Linked DNA regions of Ovis aries. The protein of the gene in region 2 interacts with the protein of the main gene of each other region in a pairwise test. Links are inferred from orthologs where the notes say so. Each region holds a gene or a part of one and is shown on either strand. Other genes may lie near its edges.

Region 1 (4,131 bases), on a different chromosome or scaffold from region 2:
GGGGGCTCACAAAGGCTTGCCCTCCAGGGAGATGACAGCGCTGCCCCCCAGCTTCTCTGCAAGGGTGCAACGGTCCTTGACCTCCTCGTAGCAGTTTGCTTGTAATTCATGCTTGATCCCTGTGGGGAAGAAGGGGGAGCATCTGTGAGCAGGAAGGGTGGGGGTGGGGGGTATTGCAGCTGGGTAGGAGCCAGTCTGAACAGATGGAGGGGACCAGGCTGCCTTCCAGCAGGCAGGGATCTCCTGGGCCATGCCATTCACCCCACCCAGCGGCCAAGGCCCAAGCACCAGGGCATATGGCGCCACCAGTGCTGGCCCTTACCTGTCAGCTTCTTCTTGATGGCGTCCTTGGAGCTGGCATAGATCATTTTGCTCTTAAGGGGTGCACACTCAGGGGCCCTGGAAGAGAACAGAATCAAGAGAATTTGGCTCCAAACCCAGCAAGTACCCTCAAGCAATAAATAACTTCCAGAAACCCCTGAGCTGGGCCCAAGCATTCACGCTTTCATCAAGTTCCTCATTGACAAGCCTTTTATTACAACACCCTCCTCTTGACACGCAGGTGTCTGGATTAAGCCGGAGCCACAGACCTTCCTGTCCTGGAAAGGGGGGTGGGGCAGAGCTAGAGCAGGTGAAAGGACAAAGTGCCTACAAGGAGCAGCTCACCAGAAGATGAACACCAGGTCCTCCTTCTTGCTCTCCTTGGTCTCGTAGGTTGCGTCATAGAGGGCGTAGCGGCAGTCTTTGTCTGGCAGCATCTTGACAAAGGTGGCATAGGGGTCGTCTACCGTCTGGCCCACATCACCCACCAGGATCTCCTTGCCCTCCTCCAGGATGATGTTCTTCTTGTCCTCACTCAAGCAGAAGAGCACCGCCTTCTTGCGCTTCTTCACTTCCTCTGGTGTTGAGGACTTACGCACTTTCATGTCGTTGAACACTTTGATGACCCCATCAGAGACAGCCACACCGGAGGCCTATAGGATGAGCCACATGCACCTCGTAAGGAGACATGCCCTGAAGTCCCTCTTTTGCTTTGTTAGGAGATCTATCTAGAGGCCAACAAAGTATAGTCCTCAGCCCCAAGAGGTTACTACTAATCCCCTTCCCAGGACTAGTGGCACTATTTTCCCACCCAGGTCACCGTCAAAAGTTAAGATGTGACACAATCCCAGAATAGCAGCCAAAGAAAAAGAGACCTTTGATCGCATAATTCAACAGCATTCCTCCCCATCCCGACATCCTGCAGGCTAGAGATCCAAGATCTGTGAGAAGCAGAGCCTCAGCCAAGATGTGAGTCCAAAATTAAAAGAACCGACAGACTACTGACCCCGTTTTCTACCCAGTCTCAGCTTTTGCATTAAGTGCTGACTCAGAACTTCACGTAGAGCAGAAAGGGATCCAGATCCTAGTCATCTCTATAGAACCAGAACCCACCAACGGGGCTCAACAGTTCTAGCAAGCCCATCAGGACGGTTCAAAGCAGTTATTATACAAGGTATTCCTTCTCTGCTGGGGTCTCCCCAAACCAAAGCAACAACAAACCCCTAATTAAGGCCCTACATGGGAAAAATGCAGGCCCCCAAGTCGCTGATAGGAGTCAGCGGTCCAAATTCAAGTGCCCACAGTCTCTGAGAGCTCTTTAAACTTCTAGGTCGTGTTGGGGGACACCCTAGCCAGGAGAGGGAGTGACGGTCCACGGTGAAATCTGCCCCCGCTCCCGGAACTGCAGAGGAAGCCGGCCACGTGATTGAGCCGCTTCCGGAGTAGGCGGTGAAAGCAGATCGGTTAGCGTCAGCCCCCTCCCCGAAAAAAACTCGTACCCAGCGGCAGCTGCATCTCGGAAGGCCTCAACCCAATGGAATCGCCTGCGCCGACGAGCTTATCGGCCCCCTGCGCTGCAGGCCTGGGCAAGTTACACAACCTTCGGCTCTCGCAGTCCTCGGGCCGAACACAGGGGACGGGGTGGTTTCCGGGCGGTGCCCGCCTGGGTCACTTCCCTAAACGCGGCTCCACCCTCAGGCCCCATCCGGGAGAGCCGAAGGCCCCGTTAGTCCACGGCTTCTGGCCCAGCGGCCAGGCCTGACCGTGTGCGCACGCGCCGGCCGGGAGCGCCGTCCCAGTCTCCGCCGGGTGTACTCCGCGAACCCGGCTCGCCTTCAGGGGCTCGCTAGCCCGGGAGGGCCGCCGAGGACTCCTTCGCGGTCCGCTCTGTGGCGCGCGGTGCAAGCCCCTAATCGCTGGCGCCTGCGCCAGGACACCCCCGCATCCCCCGCCAGCCGCGCCGCCCCCGCCCCTCGCGGGCATCCCTGCCACCTGCTCTCGAGACGGACCCCGCTCGAGAGGGAGGGTGACGCGGAGACAGGAACAGCCCTTGGGTGGGGCGCGCACCAAGACCGCTCGCGCGCTTTTCCTCCGTCGTCCCCGGGCCAGGTTTGGATGCCGCGTGTTCCAGTCGAGACGCGCGTCCCCGAGAAGCGACTCGGCGGCCCCGCGAGGGGACGGGCGCGCGCGCGCCCTGGACCCCTCCCCCACGGCCCTGGGCCGCGCGGGCGCAGCAGCCGGGTGGGGGAGGGGAAGGGAGCCCAGGGGGCGCGCGAGCGACGTCCGAGCCAGCCCTCCCCGGAGCCCGCGGGCGCGCACGCGCGTCCCGGCGCCGCCCGCCCCTCAGCACGAGACCCTCGTCCAGCCCCGGGAGCTCGGGAAGGGAGTGCCGACGTCGCGCCCCCGTTCCCTCTAGCGCGCCCGAATGATCGACTCGCGGCTGCCTCCCCCGCGGCGCCGTGGCCTGCCGCTCACCATGTTTCCGGAAGCGAAAAAGCGATAGCTAGGAGAGCCAAAAGACGAGAGCCGCTGCAGCTGCTGCCGGGATCCGACTGAACGCGGCCTCTCCCGGCCCCTTCCGTTTAGTATGAGCCGCACAATGAGGGGCGGGGCGGGCTTCCGGGGCTCCCCTTGCGGGCCGACGGGAAATGAAGTCCGAGGGCCCTGCGCCGTCTTCGGGCTTGCTGGGTAAGAGAGTCTTCTTCGTCTGACGGCCTCTGAGCGCCACGTTGCATCCTGGGAAAAGTAGTCCGAAACGGCAGAGAGAGGCGGGGCTGTGGTGCGCAGAGCGCACCCGTTGGTCGAGTTTCCCAGGAAATGCTCCGAGCTCAGAGAAGGCCTCAGCGTTTGGTAATAAGGCCTGAGAATAAACCCTGGCTTCGCGGCTCTATACCCAGTAGCGAAACGATTTTCCTAAGCGTCATCTTGGTACTTTCTGGATACCTTGGTATGAAGATTTTCAACGAGTTAGTGTTTAACTTTTCTGAACTGAAGCACCTATTTATTCTTTTTCCTGGGATCCAGTCCTAGAGCAAGGAGAATCGCAAGTATAAGGCCCCTCCAATAAAATAAGTATTCATGAAGTCTACTCCATGTTGTCTACTGAGAAAAGGTATATGCAACGTCAATAAAATGGGGAAAAACAAAGGAAAGGCTACAAGGAAATGTTTGGAAATAAGATTTGTACCAAAAGGTGTTTGGCAAATTAATAAGGCAATAAAGGTAGAAGGGGTTTTGTGCATTCGATTCAAAGAGTATGTGCTTTTCTACTAGACAGTGAAAAGAGGAAATAGATATTAAACCAGACTTGAATCTCATTCTCGAGTTGGTAACCAGGCATATGGTTAATACCCTCAGAAATTGAGGCAAAAGTTCTGTGAGAGCATAACCTTCAAAAAAAAACCAAACTGGGCTGGGGGACTCCGGAAACACTTCGTTGGTCTCGAAGACCTCTTAGTCTGCAGGAAGAGAAGACAAGGTCTCAAACAAGAGGCCCGGGGCATTGATCCTACACACAAAATAAAGGATAGAACAATAAACAGCTGGAAGCCTGGTCTTTAGGACCCGGCTAGCGACACCCGAGTGGGGTACGTCGCAGAGCATGCTGGGGATTGTAGTCGGGGACATCCCGTCGCACCGCTCACCAACCTAGCTCCGAAGGAGCCTCAATGGGGGGGGCCGCAGCTCAACCGCCGCCTCCCGCTGGAGACCGGGCCGGAGATAAGGCTGGCTCCACCTTTGCAGAGTTTCGGAGTTTCCTAGAGCAACGAGGAGGGGGAGGGAGACTTCACAGTTACCCTGGAGACGCGC
Region 2 (4,132 bases):
AACAACAATGGCACGCTAATCCTCGCGCTCTAACTGGGCTCACTTGTGTGGGTCTGACAATTCACGGGGGGAAAGCGAGAAGAGACCAGCGAGGGTGCGAGTCGGTGTCGCCAGAGACGAGGAAGAGGACAGCTGCAGAACTAATTTGGATTACATTCCTTGCAGAAATTCTGAAAAGGGCTTTTCGGCATAGCTCAAGCCCGAGCCGCACAGTTAATACCCAATCGCTGCGGACTCGCAGCCGGGTCCCCCAGCGGCAGAGATTGCACCAGACAGCCCCCCAGTAGGTCGCCCGGTGGAAATTCCTCTCGGCTAAGCCTGCGTGTCAGTCGCAACTGCTTCTGAATGGTTCAATGTGCATAATCAACCCATTGAGGGGAAATATGAAGGGACGCGGAGTGGGGAGGGAGATAAAAAGGGATGTATCTAAGAGGCCGCTTGGAATCTCAAGTCGGTGTTGGTGTAATTCCGGAGGTGGCTGGAGCCCGGGACCTGGTATGCATGAAGAATTTCGGAGTAATTGGGAGGGTGCAAACGGCCAGAACAAACGGCGCACATTGTGCCATTCGAAGGTCATTTTGAAAGGCTCGAGGATTGTAACTTGTTATTTACTAGGCGAGGGGGGAGCGGGGGGAGGCGGCGGCGGCGGGGGCGGAGCGGGAAAACTCCAGCGCGCTGTTTTCTTGGTGAGGTCAGAAGGACACGCTCCGAGGGCCTGAAACTCTCCCTCTCGCCACTCCCCGGGGGCTTTATCTTCTCAAGGTGCCTCCCACGCCCTCGCGACCAGCCCCGTATGGTTCCGGACATCTCCCCGGCTCTCCAAAAGGCCCCCCTTGGCCACGTCAGTCCCCGGTTTTCCTGGCCCTTTCTTTCCTGTCCCACTTTCATCCTCAGGAAACTCAAGTGTCAGAAACTTTGAGCTCCCTGGGCCCGCAGGGGCTGTCATCCACCCTGCGGGCCCCGCCGCGCCTCCTCCCCGGGGGTCAGTTCGCCTCCTGCCCCGCGGGGTCCCGGGGCGCGAGCTCCCCGGGCAGCAGTGGTAGCGCACCCAGTGCCGCAGCACCCGCCTTGGGTTCTATCAATTCGCCTGACGGGTTGGCTCGGCAGCCGCGCCCGGCAGTAAACAGAAGTTGGAGGGACTCCGGCCAATAGCAAGTTGAACTACAGGAAGAACTCTTCCTGAAGCCAAACACAGAAACCGACGGGAAGGCCGGGCTCCCGGCTTAAGTCAGTCAGGCCATTAAAAAAAAAAAAAAAAAAAAAAGGTCAAGCAAGCCAGCCAGCCCCCCTTAGTCCGCGGGGCGAGGGCTGGGGACGCCAGCGGAGGCCTTGCGTTCCCGGGCCCCCCGGCCGAGGCGTGTCCTCCCGCCGTGCTCCAGCTCCCAGGCTGGGCTCGAGTCGGGTCTGACCCCGCAGGCTCGGACGGCCAGGGACGCAGCGGCCGCGGGCAGCGCACACAGGTGCAAAGCCGGCTCTCGGAGCTCCTCTCCCCACTGCCCTCCCGCTCCCCGGAGCCCAGCTGCCACGGCCCCGGGATCCCAATCCTGCCTCGGAGCCCCGGCAGGGCAACGCTTCTCCGAGGCTTCTTCCCTCGCGGGCGGGGGCGGGGGGTAGGCAGACGCTGCAAGGAGCGTCTCCTCTGACTCCGGCTTTGGGTCTCCCACGTCCCGCACAACAGGCGCTACCAGAAGGGATCCGGCTTAGAGAGGCTCGAAGAAAACGCGCGAGAAATAAACAAGGGGAGAGAGAAAGAAAAGGGACGGAGAAAGGGGCGCAGAGTGGTTTTTCACGAGAAACACATGCCCACGCAGAGGGTAAGTTTGGGATAGAAAGAGGGGCGAACGAAAAACACAAGGAAGAGGCGCGGGTGACGTGGTCCCTCCACGCCCGAGAGCGAGAGGGTCTCTGGTTGGGCTAAGGGCGCAGGGGGCGAGGAGCCACCCGGCGCCGCTCGGCCGGCAGCAGCAGGTTCAACCCTGGGAGCGCGAGAAGGACCGCGACCCACCTGACTGAGAAGAGCTGGGCTGGACGGTCCCCGCCGCCACGAGAAGGCTCACCCAGACCCACAGTCCTGTCGCCAGCTTCATTTTTTGGAAGTCTCAGATCCAGTGCTGACAATTACATGTCCAAATGGCATAATCCCCTTTCGGGCACGCGGAGGAGATCCCTCGGCCGGGCGCGCGTGGGGGCTCGAGGGGCACTGGCGCGCGCGGTGCACCAGCTCCGAGCGCGGGCGACCGAGTCCGCGTCCGCGGGTCTAGGGCCCGGACCCGGAGGACCGGGAGAGGGTGCGCGGGAGGGCGCGCGCGGGTGGGAGTGTACTGGAGGGTGTGCGGCGGCGCTCCGGGCCGGACCGGGCAGCTACGTCCCCGTGTGAGCCTCCGTTTTCTCGCTCCCTCCTCACTTTCTCGCTCTCTCTCCCTGGTTGGCCAACAATAAAAAGAAAGGGTTCGGAAGAGGGTTTCCAAAAAAAAAAAAAGTTGATTGCAAACAGGCGGTAGGTTTCCGGCCTCTCCCCCCAGCCCGACTCTGTTCGACTCCCTTTTCAGTTTCCTTGCACCTCCAGTCCAAATTGGGAGGAAAGGGGCGGGAGGGGGAAGCTTCTCGCTTCACCCCCAATCCTGTCCTTTTTTTTTTTTTTTTGCTGTCAGCTTTCTTCACACTTGTCCGGCGGCTGCGGTAATTAAAGCTCCGAGCGTCATTTCCAACGCTCCGCGGTCTCCAGCTGCAGCCCCACCGAGAAATTAATAAGACTCCGTCCGGGAGGAAAAAAAAAAAGGTTGGGGGCGAGCGGGCGGTGGGTAAAACAACCCTCCACGCAGCCAGGCTGGCTCTGCTCAGCCGCGCAAACCCCGCCCCCGCTCTGACCCAACTAGCCACGCCTTCCCCCCCAAAGGGAAATCTTATTGGTTCAGCCACTCCCCAAAATCGTGGGCCTCAGGAGTTGGGAAAACACCTGTCAGGGAGCTGGGAGCCTAGCGGTGGGGGCGGGGGGAGCTGAATTTAAAGGGCTCACCGGAGGCCACAAACTGAATCAGAGACCACCCCCCCCCACCCCCAGACACACGGCGGACAGCTGGCCCGGAAAGCGTGGAGACCACCTGAGAGATGCTTTACAAAAAAGATTTTTTTTTTAGCCAGAAAGTCACCATTTACTCCACACTCCACGGTGCTCATCCACAGACTGGACCTGCCCTAGAAACAGAAGAAAAGAATACGCTGCTTCAATTGTATTAGGCTACCTCGCTTCCTACTTCCTCGTGCTTCACATTCAGACAGTAGTTCAAAAGCTGGTTCAGTAATTGTTAACATCTGCGGAGTAGGTAGTCCTGGGAACCTAAGCACTCCTCTTTCTTCAGTCTGTATAACTAACTATACAACCTCTCCCATCATTCCCACGCTCGCAAATTGATCAAACTAGACTTTCACTTTTGTAGAGCTGCATCCTTAGATTTTTTAGACTTTATGGGGTCACTTCATCTTTTCCTTGGACTCTAGAACAACTTGGTTTTAGGTTCATTCTCATTAAGCCGATTCTAGTCCAAAGCCACCAATTTGGTTCTAAATGGCTAGAAATTGATGCAGGGCTGAGCTGATCAGTCTGAAATAACTTAAGGCAAATGATAGGATATAACCAACCTTAAATAATTAGGTTTATCCTACAGTGGGTCCTGCTTTAGTCCTCTTCCATGTTCATACGACCTCCAGAAGTCATTGCTAGCCATAGGAGTTTCTGAACTCTTCTTAGTCTGAAACATATGGGATTGGATTATATCAGTGCACATATCCCTTGCTTTTTACAACTCTGAAACTGTACCCAGGACAAAGGCCAGAACCTCCTGAGGGCAGGGGATTATTGGTTTGCTATTTGCACAGGCGTTCTATGAATGATTTTCCCTTTTCAGCTTCTCTAGAAGCAGCAACTACATAAAAGTATCAGGGGAGCTTAAAAATTAAGTCACCCTGCCTCCTCGCTCATCATTTGAGACCTTCCTATTCCTCCCCCACGTCTTTTATCTATAGTTGTGTCCCTTAAGAATTTGCGTGGAGTTGGAACAGAGTGAAACAGCAGCTTCTTCCCAGAGGCCTCAGCCTTCCCTTTCTTAGGTCCACAGCAAGTAAGAGGAACAGA
Region 3 (3,581 bases), on a different chromosome or scaffold from region 2:
CCCCAACTACCTTCATCTCATCTCATCTGTGTAGCTGTAGATAAAACACCCCTCTCTCCACCCCACCCAATTTATCCTCCAACCCCAGCCTCCGTTCTCCATCCGCTTCCACGCCCTGTGCCCCTGTCCAGGCCCATTCGGCATTAGCCTCCTGCTCTTATCCTCCATCCTAACTTATGATCCTCAGAGGGATCACCACCACTCTCCCTTACTTCATTCTCTGACCCTCAAAATTCTATACCCAAATCACAATCCTTCATTCTCAACCCTCTGAAAACTGAGGCTTCTCCCGTCCTCCAGCTCAGGCCTTGTTGTGGGTCCTCCCTCCCACACCCAGGGCCTCCAGCACTCACTTCCCTCTGCTTCCTGGACGCAGATTCCAAGTCTCCCTACCTCTGTACGACCACCTTCACTCCTCTTCCCCTTCCCCAAGGACTGAATGGCCCCATCCTGAGGGAAAAAAAGCATCTCTCGTCTTCTTTCCTTAGTCCTTGCAGCCCCCAGCCATCCAAAGGAATTCTCTGCACCCATCTCCTCCTCTCCTTGCTCTCAATCAGCTCAACCTCCCCGCTGATTTCACGTCTCATCTTTGCCTGTCTCCTGTCCTAGGACCTCTCAGCTTCCTCTCGTGTCTCCACTTTTCTACCTGCAGAAGAATGGTATTTCCCTCTCCAACTACTCTCCTACCACCTCCTTCTCACCCCAGAACCTACTGCTGCCCAGCCTCTGCCTCCTCATTCCCAGGCTCAGTAACTCAGGAACCTCCTCTCCATCTTCTTGGTGAAACGTCAACAACTTCCCCCTTCCCGGGAACATCCCACAAGATCCTAGAATCTCACCCCTGACCCCAGTGTTCCCCTGAATCTCACAGCCAGCCTGGTACACTCCATTCCTCCCAGCCTACACCCCCAGAAGAGGAGACTGAGGGGGAAGAAGATGGGAAGTGGCCTGGAGAATGGGAGATCTCAAAAACAAGGTCTCCCGAGGACTGGAGAAGGGAAAACATACTGTGAGCACAGAAAAGAAGGGGAAACAGGTGGTGGTGAATAATAATGGGGGGGGGGGCACAGAAACAAATTTGCATGGAGGTAGAGTCCAAGAGGAGGAGAGAGAGGAGGCATAGGAGGAAAGGACAGAAGTGATGAGTAGGGAAGGGGGTTAACACAGAGAAAGCCGGCTGACCCAGGCAGAGGACTCATCCTGGCCAGAGAGCCTGAGCTGGGGATCGGGGAGAGGGAGAAGGAGAATGCGTGGGAGGAAGAGAGAGACAGCATCCAGCACCAGCCAGCAGAGAGGGAAAGGCATCGAGGGCGGGAGGGCACAGGAGGGGTGCACAGGCCGAGGCAGGGGACAGAGGCGGAAAGGCCAGGCAACCAGAAATCTCCGGCCAGACCGATGGAAAGGGCTGGAGAGCCAGGCCCAGAGGCCGGAAGCAGGGGGGGCGGGGGGGGGGGGTTGGCAGCGAAGGGCCAAGAGCAAATGAGGGCAGCAGGAGTTCTGAACAGAGCTCTGGACACAGAAAATGGAAACCGAGGTGGGGGTGCGTGAAGGAATGAAGAGGGCCCAGGCGCGGGGAGCATCCTGGGGAACGCACGCATCTCAACGCACGTGTGCGCACACACGCAGACACACACGCACACACACAACGGCTGTAAACTCTACACCCTCTCCCACTTGCCTGGCCTCTGTTTCTCCTCTTTGGGAACCAGGTGTTTCCGACGCCCCCAATGCCCCCTCCCCTGGCCCCAGGAGCCCAAGCCCAGCCCACCAGCCCCAGCCGCCCCCCACCTCCGGCTCTCGCCCTACCGGGCCTTGGGGTAGTTGTAGCTCCGAGGCTCCGAGGGCTGCACTGGGGAGGGGGCCGCCTGAGTCTCCTACCTTGAGGGGGGAGAAGTGGGCGTGGCCCACGACCCCTTGGACGGCCTCGAGGTGGGACAAGTTCCTCTCCGCCACGTGCACCAGCTCGGGGGCGTTTACCTGGTTGGGGAGGTGGGCCGGGCTGTGCTCCAGAGGGGGCGTGTCTTCATCTTGGTAGCGGTATTTCTGGGGACGGGGACGGAGGCGTCACGGGGGCCGGCCCAGCGCCTCGGGCTCCAGGCGGCCCGGCCCGGCGCGCCTCCGCTCCCCCGCCTGTGCAGTGCGGAAGGCCCTGGGGCCTGACCAGCTCCTCCCCCTCCCTGTCCTCCAGCCCATTGGCTCCCCTCTCTCCACCCTCCCCACAGCCCCCTCTCCCGCCAGGCCCTTGGCACCTCTCTTCTCTTCCCAAATCCGAACCCTCCCCGCAACTCTTCCAACTCCCAGCCTAGGACCCCCGCCTTCTCCCCAGCACACCCCTCCTCTGAAGTCCGTTTCTTCACCCCTTTCCCAGAGCTCTAGCCCCTCGGCCACGTGCACCCCTCCCCTTCTCTACTTCCATCCCCAGCATCTTTGCTTACCTCATCAGCTTCCCCCCACTTCCTCTTTACCTTAAGCCCATTCCCCATGTAACCTCCCTCCTTCGAGTTGCTTCTCCCATTCTGTACTCCATTCCACCCCGCTGCACCCTCCTTGCCTCAGTCTCCCTACTGCAGCCTCTGCCCCAGGAAGAAATCACTCCCCAGCACTTTGCAAGCCCCGGGCAGGGACCGCAGTCAGGCCCTTCAACTAGCAGGTACTTGGCATCAGCCCCCCTGACAGGACAAAGTGTCTAACCGGTCCAGCTGGCCTTGCTGGTTCCCAAGTCTTCGGCAAGGGGGCCCCAGGACTCCCCCACCTCTACAAATGCCCAGAGGCCAGCCAGCTAATCGGATATACTAGAAGAAGGGGGAGGGTGGGGGAGGAACAGAGATGGTAGGGCTCAGAAAGGGGGCAGGAATAGATGCCAGCTTCCAGGTTCAATAACTGCGGAAGTGGGTAGAACCTCAGAGTAAATTCCTGGTCTTCCTTTGGCCTTTAGGAGTGAAAGACCCAACCTGACCCCTGATTCCCCTTCCTAACTCACTGCATACCATCTCAAGGGCCTCCCTTACTAGCTTAATACAGACACCAGTCAATGAGATTAACGGAGGGACCAGAGAGGAGGGCAGCTGGAGACAGTAATGAAGGGTAGCGCCTCTGCCCCTCACAGAAGCAAACCCTTCCCAAGGCCAGGTTCTGTGAAGGAAGGGGAGGTTACCATGTGTAGGGCTCTCCCAGAGACTGCAGAAGACAGACTATGCTCCCCAGTACACATGGGTAAAAAGAGAAGGCAAGATTTCCCTCTCAAAAAAAGTATCTGAAAAGCTGAGAAGACCCCAACATTCAGAGGACAACTGGAGGAAGCTTATCAAGGTCAATGCCTGACACAGAGTATGATTCTGAAAATTCTGAGGATGAGGAACCAAGGCTGAGGATGCAGTCCACTTTGGCCATGGTTAAGGATAAAGTAAGAGAATAGGAAGAGGAAAATGGTCCATTAAGACTCTCCAATCCAGGACAGAGACAGCTGAGATCAAGGAACACCTTGATATATTTTGTTTTAAGGCTGCACCACTGAGCATGCAGGATCTTAGTTCCCTGACCAGGGATCAAATCCATGCCCCCTGCAGTGGAAGTGTGGAGTC

Evidence for each region.
Region 1: the proteins of ERBB4 (region 2) and CFL1 interact in a protein complementation assay, tested with the Homo sapiens proteins (2 studies listed by BioGRID and IntAct, with this or other methods). The link is inferred for Ovis aries from reciprocal best matches to the Homo sapiens genes ERBB4 and CFL1.
Region 3: the proteins of ERBB4 (region 2) and DLG4 interact in binary tests that used the Homo sapiens proteins (3 or more experiments, as listed by UniProt). The link is inferred for Ovis aries from reciprocal best matches to the Homo sapiens genes ERBB4 and DLG4.

Annotation. Positions count from the first base shown.
Region 1 is NC_056074.1:40,409,076-40,413,206, forward strand, and holds the start of CFL1 (cofilin-1), read right to left. Parts: upstream 2,811-4,131; 5' UTR 2,800-2,810; coding exon 2,797-2,799; intron 975-2,796; coding exon 667-974; intron 400-666; coding exon 323-399; intron 120-322; coding exon 7-119; 3' UTR 1-6.
Region 2 is NC_056055.1:214,424,400-214,428,531, forward strand, and holds the start of ERBB4 (receptor tyrosine-protein kinase erbB-4), read right to left. Parts: upstream 2,840-4,132; 5' UTR 2,088-2,839; coding exon 2,006-2,087; intron 1-2,005. UniProt on the Homo sapiens protein: Tyrosine-protein kinase that plays an essential role as cell surface receptor for neuregulins and EGF family members and regulates development of the heart, the central nervous system and the mammary gland, gene transcription, cell proliferation, differentiation, migration and apoptosis.
Region 3 is NC_056064.1:26,812,916-26,816,496, forward strand, and holds part of DLG4 (disks large homolog 4), read right to left. Parts: intron 2,044-3,581; coding exon 1,807-2,043; intron 451-1,806; coding exon of another isoform or gene 394-450; intron 1-393. UniProt on the Homo sapiens protein: Postsynaptic scaffolding protein that plays a critical role in synaptogenesis and synaptic plasticity by providing a platform for the postsynaptic clustering of crucial synaptic proteins.